Linked DNA regions of Drosophila melanogaster. The protein of the gene in region 2 binds, or shares a complex with, the protein of the main gene of each other region. Each region holds a gene or a part of one and is shown on either strand. Other genes may lie near its edges.

Evidence for each region. Proteins that work in one complex are often made in the same cells at the same time.
Region 1: the proteins of dpr11 (region 2) and DIP-gamma are in contact, whole or in part, in a crystal structure (PDB 6NRR), measured with the Drosophila melanogaster proteins. Residues at the interface, in NP_001262320.1 of Drosophila melanogaster: Asn146, Lys147, Ser148, Ser150, Ile152, Leu154, Asp156, Gly157, His158, Ile159, Val162, Phe167, Ala169, Glu199, Gln201, Ser203, Thr204, Glu205, Lys207; in NP_651649.1 of Drosophila melanogaster: Lys69, Val70, Gly71, Trp72, Leu73, Arg74, Asp77, Gln78, Thr79, Val80, Leu83, Val88, Thr89, His90, Asn91, Gln122, Ile123, Asn124, Ser126, Met128.

Annotation. Positions count from the first base shown.
Region 1 is NT_033777.3:28,967,354-28,971,918, forward strand, and holds the start of DIP-gamma (Dpr-interacting protein gamma), read right to left. Parts: upstream 3,020-4,565; 5' UTR 1,978-3,019; intron 1-1,977.
Region 2 is NT_033777.3:6,590,296-6,594,872, reverse strand, and holds the start of dpr11 (defective proboscis extension response 11), read left to right. Parts: upstream 1-1,542; 5' UTR 1,543-1,989; intron 1,990-4,577.

The sequences.
Region 1 (4,565 bases), about 22 Mb from region 2:
CAATCAGCTAATCTGTCTTACATATTTCCATATCGCCTCGGCTTCAGCATGGATTACGATGGTTATTCATTAGACGCATTCCTGGACGCCCTTGGCCAACAACTGGGACGCTTGCTGCGGTTTGCCGCAGGACTTTCGTCCTTCTTCTTGCTACCCCTGCCCCAGACAACTCAACTATTACCTCTCTCTTTCTGAGCCATAACTAGGCAAACCTTTTTTGCTCAGTGTGTGTGCGGAACGGCAGAGGAAAAACAAACGTCCGACTGCCGGGAAAATCTGTATAAGTGTGTGTGTGTGTGTGTGTGTGAAGTAAAAAAGCGCAACCGGAGAGGAGACGGATGGACAGCAGGAGGAAGAGAGAGGGGCGTTGGGCGATGGCAGGGCTGGAAGCGGAAAGCCGGAGAGTAAGAAAAACCATAACTAAATCCATTGCCATAGGAAAATCCAAAGCAAAGTCTGCGATGCAAATAGTAGAGATTATGGGACTGCAGATGTATGAAGAACGAGATGGAGCTGAATGTGAAACCCAAGGCGCGGCTGAGAAGGACCCAAAAGGGATCCAGGGAGGACGGAGGACGAAGGTCCCCGGCAGAAGGTGTTATGTGTACGTGTGTACGAGTGTATGAGGCACAATAAATCTTGCAAGGGTGCCGAATGGCCGGGCAAGGGGCCGGAGGCCTCAGGTCCTGAGTCCTGGATCCTGAATCCTGGGCATTGGCATGGATCTGAGACGGGACTTTGGCCTCCATTCTCTACGTCCCTGCTCCTCCTGGGCAGACCCACTGCCACCCAGTGCGCGCACGCCCCGTCAGTGAAAACCAAAACCAAATAAAACTGACATTATGCGAAAAGCGAAAGCCATAACTAAAAGTTGGATAACGTGGCCATGATGGAGCCGAAGTGGAGTGGGCAAGAAATCCGGAGCTGAAACAGCCGTAAAGTTGATACTAAACCAAAGAGCAGAGCTGGCAAAGCTAAAACAAATCGGAGATGCTATTGTCACGAGCTCTGGACGCGCAGGTGCCCTCATTTTAGTGATAGTGTGTAAAATAAATTATAGAAAATTATTGAAAAAATACTACTACTACAGAGTTACCAAACTAGTAAAGCAACCAACGATTTTTTCCGAAATCGGGTCAAGAATTAAAACTATTCCTTGCAATTTACATCAAATGCTAACAAGACTTTCTGGAAATGACTAGTAGTTTTATTTGGCAGTGTCATTAAACTGAGTTTTTCAGCTGTGCGAAAGTTCTTGTCTTCAGGTCTTAAAATATCGTTAAATTTTAATTTTTAAAGCAAACTTCTTTTGCCTAACTAAAATTGTTATAAGATATAGTTGGATTTAAACATTGGTGCCATTTTTATTTTGCAATTTTCAATTAATTGGTACTTAATTAGTACTCCAAGTACCTTATGAATATTACATTTTGCAATTGCTTAAAAAAATGTTAAAAGCATTTCCCGACCATTCGAAATGACATTAGGATATCATTCTAATTGCTGCCCCGGATAAACTTGATTCACTCCAACAGGTTTCAATTTGAACATCCTAGAAGCTCCTTATTGGATCATTAAATCAAGAGCGACTGAGCTGACCTAAAAAACTGAGAGGGCTTAAATGCTGCTAAGCGAACTGAGTTTGTTCCTTAATCGCCATCAGGACCAGCCAGAACCTCCCAGGACCACCCAAAAGGTAAATCCACGGCCCTGAGCTCGCGAATCCAAGCCACCTCGGGAGTGCACCACAATGGATTTGCCACAGCCCAACTCCATGGCACGAGCTGAATATTCTCCGATTTTACCCTTTCTGGGCGCTGGGCGCAAAATGTTGGTGGGGATACAGATATCGGGTATGAAAAACAGAAACAGGAAAATAGAAATGATAGCAAAGTTGCAAAGCGATGCGGTGCGGGCGGGCGGTCTGAAGGGGTTGCTGAAACGGAAATCGACTTTGGTAAGGAGTTTTTCTCGTACCTGTGAATCGGAATCTGAACGCTGGAGCTGCACCGAAGTTATGCAAATGTAAAGTTGTTCGTGCCTGCTCCTGGCTGCTGAATCCTGCCGCAGGATCTGGCACCTCCTTCTGCTCCTGCCGCTGCTCCAACTCCCGCTGTCAATCGAAGGCGATGTCGCGAGTGCTAATGACGTTTGCTTTGATTGCGCCCCGCATGCGAATCCAAATCTGAGCCACAACTCACAACTGTCATTTTCGCAAGGATACTCGCATATGTACGTATGTGCGATGAGTATGTAGAATAGGATGGGTTCTTGAGTGTCTATCTCAGCTGGTACTCGCAGCTCAGCTCAGCTCCTCACCGGAACTCTATTTATTTAATTTGCATGCAATTTTCAATTTTTATGCGGAATACTTGGCATTGACAGCAAACGATGCGCACATTTCGCATCGGCAATGCACAATAGAAATTGAATTGCAAAAATTTGTTTGCCCGTCCAGGGCAGCAGGCAAATGGATTGCGAACACAGTGGAATAGCGGATTTTGAGGGCTCTTCACGTCTTCACGCCAATGTCACAAGGAGCCGCATTCAAGGAGCCAGCGCGAGAGCTGAACGAGTCGAAGAAATCGCACAATTTGGCGGCGAAGATGTCAAGTATACGCCGCGTTGCCAGTGCCACACTGACTGCAATTACAATGGTGGCCAACAACAAAGACGGTATGCCGGTACGCCACACACACAGACACACAGAGGCATACACGGGCACATACGACACACGGAGTTGAAGCCACAAATACGTACGCTCCGCTCCGCAGGATCCGGAGGAGAAGTCTGAGGCGAAGACAGGCGACAGATCCTGGTATTGCCCCGTCGACAGTGTGCGAAATAAATGCACGCGCACACACACGTTCACGAAAAAATCCCGCGAAATTTGGCGACAAAAACCAAAACAAAACAACAACTTCGTGCGCTTGGGATCACGATGAATGTTCGATGCGAAATGCACAAATGCAGCTGCTCTCCACCACCGAACGCTCCGAAACTGAATTCGCAACTGAGCCAGCATGAAAAAGGATGCTGCCATCTGGAGCCGAAACGGCTGGACGCACGAAGGATGCCGACGAGCGGCACGATGACGCGGATGCTTCGGATGCTGGCTCGCAGAGCTTTTTTGGCGAGAGAGCGAGAGGAACTGGCATTGGCGACGTGTGACTTCGTTAAATTTCTGCGGCGACAGCACACAAAACGGATTCGGAAGCGGAAGTAGCAAGTAAGCGAGCAAGGAGCGCTCTGTGGCCATGTCTGGGTGTGTGTGTGTGTGTGTGTGTGGGTGTGCCTCTGTGTGTGTGTGTGGATGGGCGCGCTGAGTGGGTGGAGTGGCGCTGAAGTGGGCGAAGTAGCGCCAAGTGGCTGGCTAAAGTCGACTCGCGGAGCACGACCAGAATGGAAGTTTTGTGTTTGTGTTTTGCAATGCCAACTAAACACACATTCAGCTCCATACACACACACATATGTATGTCTATACATATATTATAAGTCAAACATACCTACGCCGTGGCATCAATATTCACATTCGCACTTGTGCGAGTATTTTCTGATTTGCTGCAATCGCGTTTGCCAACAACGAACTTGGCTAACAACAACAGCTGCCGGAGTCACAGTCGCAATCGTAGTGGGGTATTTTCCAGCGGATGTTTGGTAAATCTTTGGCGCCGGATACCAGCGCTGTCTTCCCCGGAGTCGCAATCCCGCCCCCTTAGATCACCACCCCTCGCGGGACACGCTTATACTCTTTTCATATCTTTCTTGCTCTTACACATGAAGGAACTTTGAAAAAACAATGTAAAAGTATACAAATTTATATGAAAACCTTTATTTAAAATTTTTTACTAAAAAAGGCATTTCATTTATTATCTCATATGCAAGGTATTTCAGTTTAAATATTACATTCATTTTATTTGAAAATATTCTTTTAATAATAGCGTTCATCATTATTCCTATAAAAAAAATTGTATTTTGTAAAAACTTGGACATTTTGCTCAGTGTACTAGCTTACACCCAGGGGTATGTATGTGTTGGTATCGATAACTAATAAAAGCATTACATTTATGTTAGAGTCAAGCGCCGTGGCCCCTTATTTTCCCCCCACTTCTGTTTCGTCCTGAGCAATAATTCAGTTTCCATTTCTCTGTTTTCTTCAGTTTCTCATTTTCATTTTGCAGCCAGTGCATGTGTGCCTCGGCACTCCTCTCACCCTCTCCGTTTTCCCAACACTTTTGCCACAGTCATGGCCAACTAATTGGAAACAGTAGCCAGCTGCGCTTTCTTGGCCCATTTTGTTGCTGCAGCGGCTTGGAGAGCTGGATCCTGGTGTCTCGTTTAGTTGCCAATTGCTTAGTTGATTTTCATTGTCTGCCCTTTGGGCCACACTCACAGGTGGCTAACAGGGCGATGGTATGGGTGGAAAATGTAGGGGTTTTTCCGCTGTATTGGCTTGTAAGTGAAACGATAAACGCTGTAGCTCGCTGTCATTAATTGGCTGCCGGTTGATGTTTATGTCGTTAGCTCTTCGTTACTGCAAAGAGGGAAAAGCGGATGGGACGTTT
Region 2 (4,577 bases):
TATCCTGGGTTCTGGGAGTACTGAGTCCGCCACCGTCTCGAGTCGTTGCTGTGATTTATTTTGCACTCAATGTTTGCCAAAGTAAAATTGATTGAAGCGTTTGTTGGCGCTTCAATTGATTTTCAGTACAGTACGTATACGAATACGTATGTTGCAGCACCCCTCCCGATTCCCATTCCCTTTCTTCCCCCGATCAGTCCATTTTTGCACCTTATTCTCTGCTCGTGGCCAGCGAAGCATTTCAAGTGCCCGGGCACTTGAGTCCCGGCTTGTTTACAGTGGTTAAATTAACTTTGGTCAATTTGGTTTTTGTCGAGTGGTCGGACATTGCATTGAGACGGAGTCGCTTGGACCTTACATTCACCAATCTTATTCGTAACAATGCTTTGTAGGCATAAAGCCTTTACTTAATACGGGAATTCATTCGAGGTTTTTTGAAGGGTGTTCCAATCGGGGCTGTCTTTCCATTGAGATATACATATATATTTATAATATAAAAATATAAAATTATTTTATAACAATTAATTAACGATATTATTAAATAATATTGCTCCAGCAAATATTTGCTGGCCTGTGTTTGGTTAATAGTCGAATAATCGGTTGCCCCTCAAAAATGTCACAGGCAAGAATTGCAACCATTCATCAAATGTCGTCCTGTGATTTTATTAACCGACGCTGATGGTGATTGAGGCACATCGGAGCCATCAACACCTGCAGACGGCAGTCGATCATCAGGGGCCCATCCCCTATTCCTAGCCACTTAACACCCACCATTTCCGCATCCCACTAACCAATTCCCCAGCAATCACCACCAACTGCAGTCGCATAAATCTTGGGCTGTCAAGTGCAAACAGAAGGGGAGAAACCATCAAAGATGGAGCTAACAAATTACTGACAGCAAAACAAAAAAGAAACAATAAAAACAAAAGGAAAGCGCTAAATAAGACAGTGGAGATGTAAAAAAGGGGATATATAATGGCAATAATAATTATGCAGAATATACCAAATATGCGAAGTATAAAAATAAACACGCAACGCAAATGTATGCCACTCATTTTTATGAATGAGCATTTATCATAATTAAAAATTCTGCCGGCACCGGGAAAGGTTCTTCCATCACACCCATACCCTCACCCACTTCGGAGGCCGACGTTTCTGACCTAAGACACGCCAAGCGCCGCACACATATAGCCAGAAATCGAGAAGTATCGTGAGAGTGCGTCAGAGCAAGCCGACAACAAGGAGGACAGCTTTTTTGGGTCTTCTCCGGCAGCGGAACAGCTGTTGCTGTTTGTTTTTGGGACATATCCATGGGAAAAAGTAAGGCACTGGAAGAGCCAGTGGGCCAGTTGGCCGGTTGGTGAATACCCCACTGCGCATGTCCGCCGGCAGTCGCACCCAAAGGACTCTCTTCCAAAGAGAGTTCGAGTCTCTTAGACCGCCGTTTTCCGAGCTAGCTGGCTCGGCTTTTCCCGCGAGTTGGCCGAGCTTTTGCGGGGTTGTCGTGACTGCTGAAATTACCCGTCGCCACTTCGAATGCCGTTGTCGTGGGCTTCAGTTGTGCTTACCGCTCAGTGTGTACCGTTGCTGTCAGTGAGAGTGACCCAAAACTGTGACTGTGACTTAAGCCGTGACTCTAGTGCGTCGGTGGTGCGTCTCGGTGGCGTATGCTTGATGTGATGTGTGGTGCCCTGGCGTATGCTTGATTTGTAATACGCGACCCGGGCGACGTTCTCGCAGTGCATCCTCAAGGATACCAACAGAAGTAACAACAAAACCATCATTGAATTGTGCGTCTCATTTGAAGTTAATCCATAGATATTCTCACACGCACTCGCTGGTGTGTGGTGCGGTGGCTGTGAGGTAGTGAGGTTCGGCCTGTGTGTGTGTGTGTATAATGCGTATGTAATCCAGACAAATCTGTCACGTGTTTTGGATATCTTTTTCTGAGGCCGCCAGTCCGGGTATTTATTGAAAAATTGCACATAGGTGAGTCAACTCCAAATCCCCGCTGCATATGGAAAATAAAATAGTACCCTCTCACGCTGAAAACTAAAATAGTTAAGCAGCTTATGGGCCATGAGGACAGAGCTATGCGGATGATGGGCCAATAACCATAGCCCTTTCCAAATATGGATAAATAAACAAAGATTGGTTATTTAGGGGGGCTAACAACCTTTATCAGCAGATTATTTAATACAATTAGTCTCCTATTTATAAACAATATTATGAATTGGGCTTATAAATAAATTGAATTTAATAAAAATAGGATTTGGTTTGATTGGGTTTTATTCTTCTTAATTGACTACAGATTTTAAAAGCAAATTTACTTCTTTGAAAATAAGCATCATCTTCAAGTGACAGGTGTTTGTTTTTGAATTGTTTGTACAGAATTGTTTAGAATAGTTAATTGTTATTGCATGAATTACTGGGTTCTATTTTTAACTCCTTTTCTTTAAATTCAAAATTATAATAAAATTGTTGTCAGGCCTTTCAATAGTTAAGCACAAATGTTAGAGAATTAACAAATGTTTCGAAAGGCTTAGACCGTAAGGATCATTAAATAAAAGTGAAAGGATAACATTCACATTACATTACCCAAAGATTTATGATTATTTTTGCCTGTATTGAGACTTTGGCCATAAATTAAATAGCTAATGGTCACCCCAGTGGATTTCTTAGCCATTTAACCTTTATGCCCAAATTAAATGACAGAATTTGATTAGACCTATACACGCAACCGGCTTTGGGTGCCTTCTCATCCGGCTGAGTGTATAATAAATGAGAGGTCCTCGGGGCTGTGGTATCATCCCCAGGTGGAAAAGTTTGGCAACTCCCCCGCTCGCTCAATTGTTTATTTAACAGCAATGAAAAAATCATTACGCATTTCATATCCGAACTTCAAAAGGTGAAATTCCCATGAAAAATTATATAAATAAGTTGAAAAGTTTTTAATGCATATCAAATAAAAGAAACATGAGTAGGATGGCCGGAATGCGACTAAAAATCAAATGTTGATTTAAAATGCAAAGTAAAATGACAGCAAGGAGAACAAAGAGTGAGCAGGACTTGCTGTCCTGTACGCAATTTGTCCACGTATTATAATTTTCCCCATTTTTTGCATTCTCTTACACCGCTGCTGGTTGCCCTTGTCCTTGCCCTACTCTCGACCAAGTTAATGTCATTTGCATTCGCCCATATACCCACTTTCCACACGTACATATATTTTTCAACTTTTCACTGGCCATATTTTCTGGTTTGCCGCTCGCCGAGCTGGTCTCGCTTCAAGTTCATTGTGCATTAATAATTTAGTTGTCGTTTCGCCTCCAATGCGAATTCGAGTCGACACCCAGGAAAACTTGTTGGTCGCTTGCCTTTTGCCCTTTGCCCTTTTTGCCCGCTTGTAATTTGATTTTGTTTCCCTATTTTCGGTTGTACTCCGCTGGTCAGCAGCCTCGATGGGAATTGTGGCTCTCCCTATCAGGTCGGTATCATTTGCATGACTGCCTTTTAAATTCGGTCCACTCGTCCTCTGTCTGCGGGACTCGAAAATAGGTTGTCTGATTAAATAAACTTGGCCATCTGTTAATAAAGATTCTTTGTGAGTGGCCAAATAGGTATGAAAATGTGCTCGGAAAGTACATACAACAGGGTGAAAATTGGATCCAATTAAATTGCATGGAACCTATTATTAGATTCAATATCGTTACCTCGATAGTTTAGACTTCAATTCTCTGATTACAAGGGTTATTTAAGGGTTTCTCTTAATTCAAATTATCCTTGTTTTCTGAAAATACAACTTTTATATTATACAGTAATATTTATCTTATTTTACAATTATTTCTATGACACAAACATAATTTTAAATTTGTTATTGATATGTTTGGCAATATGTTTTTCTAAAATTCTCGCGCCAATTTTAGGCCAATCGGCTTTTTTTTCATTAGTTTCCTGTCTCTGAAATATGACAAATCTGAAATCCATTAAGGTTCCATGAACTTTTTAGCTACAACAGCTCATTTGCCGTGCACTTAAAAGGATAGAAAAAAGGGACTAGAAGTGGCAGACGCGACTTGTGAATTTGTTGCTATGAAAAATGATATTAAATCGCTTTTTTCATTATTTTTCCGGTAAAATCGCGTTCTCCATCTTGTCAGACAGTTGTCTCAGCCAGCCCAGTGAAATCCCAGTAGCTAGAGCAAGCCCAAAACCCAAACCCACAACCTCGAGGCTCGTCTGTCGACGTTCCATTTTCAGTGGCGCGTTGCGTTTTGTCCTTTTCAGGGATTTGGACTGGAACTGCAAGAGGCAGGACACAAAGAAAAGTTCACAGAGGAGCGGGGAAATTCTCGTGGAGGCAGATAGAGCAAGTTGAAAATTCAGAATAATGAGGAAACTAACGAGCCAAGACTTTCTCATTGTTTACTGGCGCAAAAATTGCGCGATTATTAATTTTCTATGCTATTTTGTAGCTCTTTTTGCGGCCCCGCTCTGCGCCACTTCATCCCCTCCGTTCACCCTGCCACTGGCACAGCAGAGTTTTCTATATTTTCCTCGTTTTTAATATTTCGCAATAT